2 linked regions of the Drosophila melanogaster genome follow. The protein of the gene in region 2 purifies or fractionates together with the protein of the main gene of each other region. This does not show direct contact. Each region holds a gene or a part of one and is shown on either strand. Other genes may lie near its edges.

Evidence for each region. The genes of interacting proteins can lie anywhere in the genome.
Region 1: the proteins of Cp110 (region 2) and Klp10A purify together in Drosophila melanogaster (affinity purification with western blotting; one study listed by BioGRID). This does not show direct contact.

The regions. Positions count from the first base shown.
Region 1 is NC_004354.4:11,134,111-11,139,068, forward strand, and holds the start of Klp10A (Kinesin-like protein at 10A), read right to left. Parts: upstream 3,009-4,958; 5' UTR 2,757-3,008; intron 2,669-2,756; exon of another isoform or gene 1,986-2,668; 5' UTR 1,807-1,985; coding exon 770-1,806; intron 1-769. Other genes in the region: CDK2AP1 (CDK2-associated protein 1), read left to right, coding at 3,947-4,792. UniProt on the Drosophila melanogaster protein: Required during anaphase to drive sister chromatid separation to promote flux by actively depolymerizing kinetochore microtubules at their pole-associated minus ends, thereby moving chromatids through a 'poleward flux'.
Region 2 is NC_004354.4:22,480,784-22,487,984, forward strand, and holds Cp110 (centriolar coiled coil protein 110kDa), read left to right. Parts: upstream 1-1,611; 5' UTR 1,612-1,757; exon of another isoform or gene 1,758-1,881; 5' UTR 1,882-1,953; coding exon 1,954-1,967; intron 1,968-2,055; coding exon of another isoform or gene 2,056-2,058; coding exon 2,059-2,239; intron 2,240-2,303; coding exon 2,304-3,743; intron 3,744-4,453; coding exon of another isoform or gene 4,454-4,468; exon of another isoform or gene 4,469-4,618; coding exon 4,619-4,852; exon of another isoform or gene 4,853-4,963; intron 4,964-5,159; coding exon 5,160-5,291; 3' UTR 5,292-5,301; exon of another isoform or gene 5,302-5,337; intron 5,338-6,274; 3' UTR 6,275-6,675; downstream 6,676-7,201. Other genes in the region: l(1)G0196 (lethal (1) G0196), read left to right, coding at 6,884-7,006.

The DNA of each region.
Region 1 (4,958 bases), about 11 Mb from region 2:
ATGGCATTACCAATTCCCGACAGCCACACAATACATACGAGTGCGAAAACCGGAAAGAGAAGCTAAGCAAGAAGTTGGCGGAGAAAGGAAAGGGGCAGCAGCAGCCGTAGCAGCTTTAATTCAATTGAAGCCAAACAATTGCTAATGGACAAATGCCGGGCCACAAGGCAGTTACTTTTTCGAAATCTCTTCCGCTGGAGAATTGGGTTTAGAGAGCTCGTGTGCAGATCGGCGGACGGAGTGGCCGGGCGGGGGCAGGTGAAGCGTCTGGGGCTTCCAAGTTAGTCATTCAACGAACTTGGCTATTTCGGGAGCAACCGCTTTCATGATGCATGTGTGTGGCTCTGTTGCCGTCTCTGTCGGCATGACTCAATGGGTCGCTCTAACAGAGATGCGCCAACGAAACGAGCTCGAAAAGTGACTGGCACATTTGGTTACTCGATGGAAATCTGATAAATGGGGCAATGATTTCTTTAAAGGATATGCTGCTTTATACTATATATGATTCCACTGCATCAACAAATTAGGTTTAAGATTGAATGATAGCTATAGAGGGTCATCTATAACGAAATAAGATTTTCTATAGTTCAGTTCAATTGAAATAAAGCCGTTTGCTAGCAAGGATACGCATTAGTAATTGAAGAAGCCTCCCCAAGACATTGGAATGTGTGGTCACCATATCGAGCGTTTGTTTAGAATCACTACTAGTAATTCAAACAGACCATATATGGAGTTGTTTTGGAGCTTGTTATTTGGATTGGATACTCACTTGTATACCATGGCATTGTCGCACGTGTCGTTGAAGGCGTAGTCGAAGCGAAACTTGTGGTTCTCCAGGAACTTGGTGAGGTCGACCTTGCTGCGCGGCTCGTGCACGATGAGCATGTCCTTGCGCGGCACCGAAATGACATCGATCTCCTTGCGATTGACCTCCTTGCGGCTAATGGGACGCTTGCGCACGCACACTGTGATCTGATGGTCATCGACGGCCTGGCCATCGAGCAGCGGCACAAATTCCAGCGTGCTCTGATATTCGCGTATCATTTGCGCCGTCTCCCAGTTTGGATTGCCCGGATCCTGGTTCATCAGCGCCACCTTCTCCTCCTTCATCTCGGCCTGTCGGGCGCGTCGCTTCTCGCGATTCTCCTTCAGTCGCTCCACCTCTTTCAATGCGTGCGATCGCCGGGTACTAGCGCCGCCAGCTCCCTGGGTTGTGGCCGCAGTGGCGACTCCTTGTGCCGCCGGACCAGCACTGGCTGCCGCGCTGGGATTGGGCAATGTGTTATTAGGCACCGCCGAGGCGATCCTTGTCTGCTGCTGGCCGGTAGCAGCTTGCGAGTACCGTGGACGCTGTAATCCAGTGGTCGTCGACGTTGTGGTGCCACCACCTCCGCCGGCCGTAGTGTTGGAGTTGCTGTTTGTATTCACGCTATTGCTGCTGACAATCGGATTGGGAATCGACTGGCTTTCCTGGATCTTGTTCAGCATGTTTCCGGCCATGGTCATACGGCTGGTGAGATTGCCACCGATAGCCGATTGTGTGGGATTACGCGAGAGGTTCATCGGCGCGGTGGCTTGTTTCTTGGGCTCCGGGGCGGCGTGCTGTTCGACAGTATCTTGCATTAGCTCCGGATTGAGCGTGAGTATGGCGTCCAGTTCTACCTCCTTGCCCTTCGTTTCGCCGCGCTCGTACCATTCGACTGTGATGCACTTGCCCGACTGGTTGATCACCGCCACCACGGCCATGTGGACGCGGCCATCCGTCCGCTTGATCTTGACGCTCTGCCCCACCGTAATCATGTCCATGATCCTTCCTCTTTGACTCCACCTGTATATCTCTATTCTCCACCGATCTCTTTCTCTTTCTCCCGGCTTATCCTGCGTTAACTCCGAGTACTGCTTGATGGACAGCAACTTCCACTGCTTGCAGGAGGAGTTCCGTTAGTCGTAGATGTAGTAACTACGTTGTGGTGTGCAAAATGTGCCTAAATAAATACATAAACAAAAAACACAATTTAGTCAGATTTTTTAGGTCGAAAATAATTTTATTTCGTTGTTTCTTGACGAGCGATAAACTTGTGGAAACTAAGCCCCGAACCGAATTCAAGGCATTGACAACTAAATCGAACCCAACTGCTTGTCGAGGTCGCCGACAGCGTCTGTTTTTTTTTTTTCGAGTGTCCCAGTGTGTGTGTGTGTGCTGCTTGCGGGTCGGCGTTAGTATGTGTGTTTGTGCTGAATTCAAATGCCAACTGTCGTTTTCGTTGCGTCTGGCAACGGATAACAAAAAGGAAAAACGGCAGCCCGCTGGCTGGGAATTGGAAATAGGAAAAGGGGAGCTCCGAGCCAGCGTAGGATCGCGAAAATCCCAACCGAGTTGCTGCTTTTGTTGTTGTGCGCCCATTTTGTGGGCACTGGCGGCACTGTGCAACACTGACACACACATAGCGACACATATGCAGCTGCGGCAAGCCTTTTGGCCGAAATGCAGCGAAAAAAACAACAAACCGCGGCGTTTGGCAGCCAATCAATGCTTTCCGCTCCTAATTAGATGCAAAACTGATGAGAGAGAAACACAACACTTGCACACACACACATATGCAAGGAGTGGGGGGAATGCGTTTGCTTTATCGCTTTACGTCATACACAGAGCACCCACACACACTTGCGAGCAAACACAAACACACACCGATGCAGAAAACAGACGGTCGCGGAAATTTAATTGAATTTTTCGCAATCTTCTGCCTTTCGCTCACCTTTCCTGCTATCTTCCCAACCGCTACAATGTGTTAGCACTTTCCATTAAAAAAAAAACTGGCGGATTTATCGACCGATCACAACGAAATATCACAAAATCTGCTAGAAATAGTTTTGCAAGCGACCAGATGTCAGCAACACAATTTTTTAGTTTCGCCTCGCCATTGTTTTTTGTCCCCGCCGCGTTGCGCAGCACTGGACTGCAGCGCAAACAGTGCTGGCAATCAGCCGTTGTGTTTGAAAAGTGAGACAATTGGCGTGTTAATAAGTGAATAAAATCCATATTAAGCAGGGTTACTATTGGCTAAGTAGTTTTTGGGTATATTTATGACTTTTTAGTAGAAATACAAGTATAATTTTGACAACTTGAGAGTTTATTATTAAGATTGATGTCTTGGCCAACACTAGGCAAAGTAACCGTTAAAAATGTCAGCTGTTTTGGAATTTATATCAATAAGTAATAAAAATAAGCGACCGCTTTTGTTGGCATAAGCATAAGTTCATTAAAATGTGCCTTATTTATTGAAAGAATCAACGTTTCGGCAATACTTTGTATATTTGTGTGCAATTGGCTTTTCCGCCCCCCGAAACTAGACAACACTAGACATACATAACGTTGGGTATTTTTAAGCCCTAACAAAATTAGCTGTTTAATAAGACAAATTGGGAGTGCCTTATCAGGGTGAACTAGGTATTATTCGACGTGGATGGTTATTCATTTGCATGGTTTTACCGTTTTGTCATTCATGTATACATATGCACTTGGGTTAAATTTTGTAATTTTCTTGTAGTTTTATGGTTGTTAATTATCTTTTTTTCAAAAACATTTAGCCATTTACCAATTTGGACAAAGAGCTTTCCACATGTATACAAATTGCTTGTACAGTGGAAACACCCACATTCGAGACGCGAATAGGTGGGCACTTTGCATCGCGCTTGTCTATCGATACTATAATCCGAACCATCGACTTTTGTTGGTGGGGGTGTATTTGTTTGTGCGTTGAAGGGAAAGCGTAATAACGCCTCCTGATATCGATATCGATATCATATCACAAAAAACAATAAACCAAAAAAGAAACGCTAAAAACTAGTAGTTTTGTGTGCCAGGAAAACGGAAAGGTGGACATAGTTAAGTTACCACAACAACCGACGGATATCGACTCCAGACACCACATCGCCCAGCGCCACCATGGACATCATGGATATCCAGGCCGTAGAGTCCAAGCTGAGTGACGTCACGGTGACACCGATACCGCGCAGCCAAGTGCAGAATTTCTACAATTACCAGCAGCAGCGGGAGCAGCGCGAGCAGCAGCCCCAAATCCAGATATCGGCCATCCACCACTCGCGTGGATCCGTTGGCGGAGGAGGCGGATCCAACTCATCCAACGCTGCCACCGACTACTCCACGAGCAGCGGTGGCAAGCGGGAGCGGGACCGCTCCTCCGCCAGCGACTACAGCAGCTCGTCCAGCAAGCAGAGCTCCGCTGCAGCGGCCAATGCAGCAGCAGCTGCCGCCGCCGTCGCTGCCCTCCAATACTCCCCGCAGTTCCTCCAGGCCCAGCTGGCGCTACTCCAGCAGCAGTCGAACACGACGGCCACGCCGGCAGCCGTCGCCGCTGCGGCCCTCTCGCTGGCCAACATGTGCTCCAGCAATGGTGGTCAGCGGAATTCCGGTGCCGGCGTTTCCTCCACCTCCTCTGGCAGCAATGGCCAGAGCATGGGCCTGAATCTGAGCTCATCGCAGCTAAAGTACCCGCCACCCTCCACCTCGCCCGTGGTGGTGACCACCCAAACTTCGGCCAATATCACCACGCCGCTGACCTCCACGGCCAGCCTGCCCTCAGTGGGCCCGGGCAATGGGCTGACCAAGTACGCCCAGCTGCTGGCCGTCATTGAGGAGATGGGCCGCGATATCCGGCCCACGTACACGGGCTCGCGCAGCTCCACGGAGCGTCTCAAGCGGGGCATTGTCCATGCCCGCATCCTGGTGCGCGAATGCCTCATGGAAACGGAGCGTGCGGCGCGCCAATGAGAGGAGGAGTCGCTGGCGCCGCAGCTGGCGACCCCGGAGTGAAATGGACCAGGAGGCGAGGATCGGCCTCATCTAGGTTAATTACCCCCAAACAAAAAAAACAAAAAAAAACACGGACATATAGCAAACGCAAAGATCCATTTTGTCCCAATTAAGCATTAAAGTG
Region 2 (7,201 bases):
TGGGTCAGCTGTGCGCATGGGCAGAGTAACTGTTTTCGGTTTGCTCTCTTTGCTTTCGTCCTTCCCCTCTTTTATACCATCACTATGATTGCTCTTTGTTGAAAATCCGCGACTACTGCGTAGAAAATAAAATAACAATATTTATATGTAACTGTTGCATGAGCATTATTTCGGATACATGGCAATTTACCAAAATGTTTTTGTCATGTTTTTCTGGCTTTTGAGGCCCTGTCTCACTCACACAAGCGCACTTGTTTTCACAAACGTATACCGATTAAGAACAAAAAAAAACTCCGTAGTTCAGCATGGAAAAGGTGTCATTGGAACTGCGACTTTTCCACCAGTGATTAACCATTTAATTCGAAATACTTATTTCATCAACTTATTCCCTTGTTTTTCATAATTTATTGTCGCCGCCGTTGCTGTTGTTGTTGCTGTTTGCTGCTTGGCTTACCGGCTGTGTGCGAGTGAGACAGCAATGCAGCGTGGGAGAGGACGAAAGCAAGCATGTGGAAGAGAAACAGAGAGCGAAGCGCGTGGAAAAGTTGTAATAATAATAATAAGAACGGAGCCAAACACTAACGCCCAACTGAGCAGCAACAACAGCAACTACAGCCATACAAAACGTAAAAAACACCAAGTTGTTTGGCCTTCGATGTCTTTTTCAATTGCGTCGCAGAATGAAACACAAAAAAAAAAACAATACAGAAACACCACACTCAGCGTGTGTATGCATATGTACACATATATGTGCGAAACTTTGCGCTTTTTGTTTTTGTTTTCCTTACACTTTTACCGTATTTTTATAAAGGAAAGGGGCTAGGAATAAAGTTAGGGGTAAAAATTACTTGTATTCTACTTAAAAAACAAAGCTGATACTGTTGAAAAAAAATTGCACTCCCATCTCACGCACACACACACGACTGCATCTACAATGCAACTTTAAAGAGAGAAATCTGGAGCAATATAAACCGCAAATAGTTCATATTTGAAGTACAAACTCAGTTTTGCGGACGTTCTTTGCAAAAACGGTTTTAGATCGTTTTGTAACTAGATAACACACACACATAACATATGCAAACAGAAGTTACGAACACAACATATCGACAAGCTGTAATAGAACTCGCATACTTTTCGCTATAGCTGGTGACTTTCGAAAATATTATGTTGACTCCCGAATTCCAGGCAAATTCGATCGCGCCAGAGCAACAATCAGCGCAAAAAAACACATCCAGTGAATGTGACCGCGCGCACGGCGAAGGAAAATACCATCCGGCGCAAATCAAATACCAAAATGTACCACACCAGTTTCGATAACCACCTAGTAAACTGTTGAATTCGGCCAGCTGTTTCAAATTAGTTTGTTAAGAACCAATAAAAGTTAAGTTTTCGCAGACAATGTTTCTTTAATTTTGACAAGATTTTGAAGCATACGAAATATACAATATAAGTTCCTGAACACTAATTTAATCCACCGTTTTCTTTACTATAATTCTGGAAGGACTGAAAACTTGTTCCTCTGCTAATCTGTGGAGTCCTCAAATTTTCTCTAAAAACGCTACTTCCAAAAGTCCGGTTATCGATATCTGACGTCAGGGCTGCATGGACTTCGTGTGAGTTTTGAATTGCCGTTTGAAAATAAATGTTTTCCCCAGCATTAAAGCAGCATTTCTCATTGGCTCTTGATGGTAGCTGCGATCCACGGTAGAAACATTGAATACAAAACTCTCAACGATTCGGGATATCATTTGATTGATGTAATGAACTCTTCAGAGGTTTCCTAATTTTTGGCGGGAAGTCGAGGGCTCCCTAGTGCCATCGTCATCTCTAATGGCAACTAAAACATAGCAGACATTTAATGAACTTTCACAAAACACCTAGATTCAGCTGACCTCTGAGAAGGCTTCCTGACATTTCGACGTCCCAACAAAAATTCCCAGTAGCAAAACACCAATGGATGCGACGTGGTGAGTGGGTCTTGGGATTTTATGAATCCCGGTTGCTTACGGGCTTCTAATTACTGATTTTGCTCAATCTAATGCTTCTCCAATTAAGCAGGGCAATGGAGCAGCTGCTGTCTGCAGTTGAGATGGGAGGTAGCCACAGCGAGGCCACCACACCAACGGCCACGACCACCATATCGATCTGGAGCGCCCCCTCCGAGGGCAGTGGCTCTAGTTCCATGGACCCTGTCTCCTTTCGGTTCCACTTGGACGGGCAGCCTATACTGCCACCGCTGGTGATTTAAATTCTTGGTCAGGGAGTGGCATTTACTGAGGCGTAACCATTTTACTTTGTTCCAGATGACGAGCGCCAAGAAGCGCGAGGTGCAGCTGGCCCGCCAGATGGCAGAAGCGCTGGAGAAGCGGTACCGCCTGGCCAGACACTCGGCGGGATCCGACATGGCCAGTAGGAGAAGTGTGTCACAGCTGCAGCAGACAGAAACGTTAATCTATGACAGCACACGGGGCCAGGCTCGTCCTCAGACTCTGGTCTTTGGCAAACAGTTGCCCACCATACAGGTGGATCCTCCCACGCCTCAACCATTTGTGAAATCAATAGAAAACACTTCCCCAAGGCGGCATAATCGCATTACCGATCGTATCCTGCAGTTCGAGCAGTCGGGACTGGGTAAGCTGCTGCCCAAAGTTCCAGATAAGTGTATCCTGCGCACAAGTCCTGCGGTAGCCGAAGACCAGCAGGATCAGGATACAAAGGACACAACGGCAAGGGAGCTCGGCAGTCCACTGGCAGAACCAGCTAATTTTCAGCGTTCGAGAAGTTTCACACTAGAGGAGCCCTCCCAGGTTCTCGTGGAGCACATGGAGAGGGAGGCCCTGGCTGTGAAACCCAGCCAGAGTTTGGCCAACTTCGAGAAGCAGACCATCGAGTCTCAGGCCAAGCGGGTGAACCGTAGTGCAAGGAGTATTAGCAGCAAAATTAGCCACAACAGCTACAATAGCAACAGTAGCGCCGCAACCAAGAGCACCATCGCCACTAAAACCACAACCGCCGGCAGCAGCTGTTCTAGGCGGGATCGCGAGGTGGAGCGTATAATAGAACGGGCGCTGGACGAGCATGGCGCTTTGGAAGCCAGCCGCAAGGCAGGAGTGCGCAACTATCTGCGTGGCCATCGGGAGCGAATGAATCAATTGGTCATTCACCAGGAGAAGGAACGTCGTCGCATGCAGGCCGAGTTTGATCATCAGCAGCGTCAGCTCATAGAGGAACTGTGTGCCGAAATTGATGTTTCCTCGGCCACCGAAAATCCTGACAGTCTGATATCGCAAAGCACCAGTACGGGAGACCTGCAGCGTTTTTCCCCCTCGCCTACGTTACCCTCCTTTTCAGAGGACATAGAAGACTTTCCGACGATGGAAGACAAGTGCCAAATTGCGGGGCCTTCTTCCGCTCGCAAGAGGCTGTTTAGTCCAAAACCATCAAAGGACTCGGAACCGCAGCTGCTCAGTGCCCCCAGCACACCGCGATCGTTGCCCCTCCGGAACAGCAGCTTAACCAATAGCAGACGAAGTGTCCAAGTTGTCCGGCGCCGATCGCAATCTGTGGGCGGTAGTCTAGTAAAAACAATCACCGCAGCAGACCGCGAGGTGAAGAAATCGCCAGCGAAGCCTGGAGGTGGAGCAGGACGACCGAAAAGTTCCCCGGGAAAAAATAGCTCCATTATAGCGAAAAGGGGAAGCGCCCCACCAAAAAGCGCCTCACCGACCAAGCGGCTGGGCAATGTAAGTTTTTCAAGCGAATCTGAGCGATATTTTATTTGCTTTAAGTCACAAAGGTTTTCATTTGTGCCAACCTAAGTTAGCAGCTAATTTGGTTGGACTCTTACTTTAAATCTCTGCTATTTGACCTTTCCTTTTATTTAACTAAAGCATTAACGATTTTTTATTTATGGTCCTCTATTTTTATACCCGTTACTCTTAGAGTAAAAGGGTATACTAGATTCGTTGAATAGTATGCTACAGGCAGAATGAATCGTTTCCGACCATATAAAGTATATATATTCTTGATCAGGATCTATAGCCGAGTCGGTCCGGCCATATCCGTCTGTTCGTATGAACGTCAAAATCTCAGGAACTATAAAAGCTTGAATATATGTTGGATATTTTTCACAATTTTATTAGACATGTACATTTCTATTGACATTTTTAATTAATTTTTAAATTTTTTCTCATTTTATTCCCAATTTTGTATCGATATCCCAGAAAAATTATGATGAAATTTCTAGTTTGCATATCCACTAGCTGAGTAACGGGTATCTGATAGCATTCTTTTTTGCTTTATATTGATATTGATATTGATATTCTTAGCATAATCACTTAATATAATAATTAGGTATTTTATCCCTAAAAAAGTGAAAACCTTGGCGATATAATCTGTAATATCTATTTCCTGTACTCCCATTCTATTATTTCCTCTTCCCCAACACAAACAGCGCAAGAAGCCCTAGCAATTCGGGTAGTCAGTTATGCAAGTGCCTTAACAAAGACTGCGAGGAAATCGAGGGACCAAGCCTCTAGCACCAGTAGCTAACCTAATTACTAACCCAACTAGCAAGTGCCTTCGTTCCCTGTTTAATTTCGCCTCTAATCCCTGCCAGAAATATGTCGAGCTGAAACAGGAAGAGCGCCAGTGGGCGGCCACACGTATTAATGCCGGTGTGCGAGGATTTTTGGTCCGCCGGCTTTTTGCAACCGAGCAAGTGCAGCGCATTGTCCAAACCATCAGAGACACCCTGATCTTCGTGTTGAACCTGCACCTGGAAACTTGTGGACATGGCCTGGATGCAGAGGAGCCTGCAAACTTGCGCCTCAAGGCGCGATTGCTTCAACAGGTGGGTTACTTGGTTACTTGTCTAGGTGTAAAAGGTGCCAAATGTGTACATTAGGCTTGGATGATAAAACTAGAAATTAATTATTATCTGAGTGAAGGGTATGCGATAGTCAAAAAACTCGACTGCAGTGTTACCTACTGTGCTTACATTGACTTTGGTTTAACTTTGAGTAAGCAAAACCAAAACTACTGGTATTTTAGAATAATTAATGCGATTTTATATAAATATTTGATTTGAAATTGCCTTGTTTGCAAACTTAATACAAGCTGACTACTTTTTCCTTTATATTCATTGAATTAACTCATAGCTCTGCTCCGCCAGTCGTACCCTGCACCTGATCTTCTTCCAGACCAACATAAAGGACCGCATGGAGATCATCGCTCGGGATCGCCAGAGGATCAAGACCAAACTACTCCTCAAACATCGCCGATTGGATTAGGATTTCATAGGTTAGATTGCTCGAATAAAGGAGGAAACGATAAACGAAGCATTCTTGTTTTAACTAAACACATTTTTATTAAGTTTAAGTTTTCTGGTTCCACTTTCTCTCTATACATTTTTACATTTTTGTACCCTTTTTGTACTCTACGAGTAAATGGGTATACTATATTCGTTGAAAAGTATGTAACAGATAGAAGAAAGCGTTTCCCATTATAAAAAGTATATATATTCTTGATCAGGATCGCTAGACGAGTCGATCTGGCCACGTCCGTCTGTCATTACGTCCGTATGAACGTCAGGATCTCAGAAACTATACAGGCTAGAATGTTCAGATTTATCATGCAGCTTCCAGAGACATAGACGCGATTTGCCAAAAAACTCTGCCACGCCCACTCTAACGCCTAAAAACAGCCAAAAGCTGTCAAGCCCACACTTTTGAAAAATGTTTTGTTTTTTCTACGTTTTTTTGCTTGTTTTGCCCATTTCTATCGATATATAATAAAAAAAAACTCCCAAAACGGCGTTTGGCCCACAGCGCCCACAACTCGAACCATTTACATATATATTTTTTCTCATTTTATTTCCCAACTTTGCGTTGGCATATTCATTAGCTGAGTAACGGGTATCTGATAGCCGACTATAGCAATCTCTCTTGTTATTATTTAATTTGTATTATGGAATATATATATTTGAGCTGAAATGGAAGAAAATATGTATATGTTAATACTTAAATATTAAGTATATTTTTAAATATTAAATATTAAAAAAATATTAAAATAATATAAAATTTAATGGGTAGATTCGGTAGTATCCTTAACTACATACACAAATTAATTCTTACGATTAATAAGCAATTCTAACAAACAAATATACATACTAGTCGCAATATTGAACTGAAATACATTTATATACTTATTTTTGGTTATATCTCTCTATTATCTTTTTAATACCTTTTAATACCTTTTCTTTCTTGATTTACAGAACAGCTGTTTGGCAAAAGCCCGCGTGATTTTTTGCAGCCAAGCTTTCAAGACATTGCGGAGCTTTCTAGACAAATTCGCCCTGAAAGCTGCGGCGGATTGCCAAAACAAACGGAACTTTTAAAGCGAGTAGTCGTGTGTGCGTGTGATGGCCTTAAAAGAAAACAGCAAAGGCAGACAAATAATCAAAAGCGAGAGAAAACTAGTTTAATAACAATTAATTATTAGTGAGCACGTAACCCACAGCAATTGGCCGACCTCCCGCTCATCCTGTTATTCACCCAGCTGCCCGCGTGCCTTGCCCACCCAATTCCATAATTCCGCCGGCGGCGAATTTAGAACGACACACCAAATTGAAAAAATAATAATACAAATAATAAAACCACACCAATAACAGATTTCGTAACTCGTAAATCGAAGGACAGTGAGAGAAAAAATCGTTAACAAAAATATAAGCGCACACTTATATTTTTAACACGCGGCAAAGTTGCGTGCGTGGGGGTGAGAGTGAAAAATGTAAAAACAGAATACGAAAAACGTTTCCCAGTGTTGTTGTTTGCTCCTTGTTTTGTTTGGATAACTCGCACTAACACCAACACAAAGGATTACCATGTCCTACACCGAGTTGGAATCAGGGTACCAGGATATATCCCAGCAGCATCAGCAGCAAAATCCGCATCAAAGTCAGCCGCAGCAGCGGGTCGGTTTCTACTTGGGATTACAGGATGGCAACGTATGCGCTCCACCGTTTTACCACTAAAATCTAGCGTAACCCACTAAAACACATAATTTTTTTTATTTGCATACTATATGTGCTATACATGCACGTATTTATTTTTAAAACAAGTCAAATCGATTTTTATTTAATTTTAAATAGTGTTTTATAAGAATGTGAAATATAAAATTATGAGCATTGAAAAAGTATTTA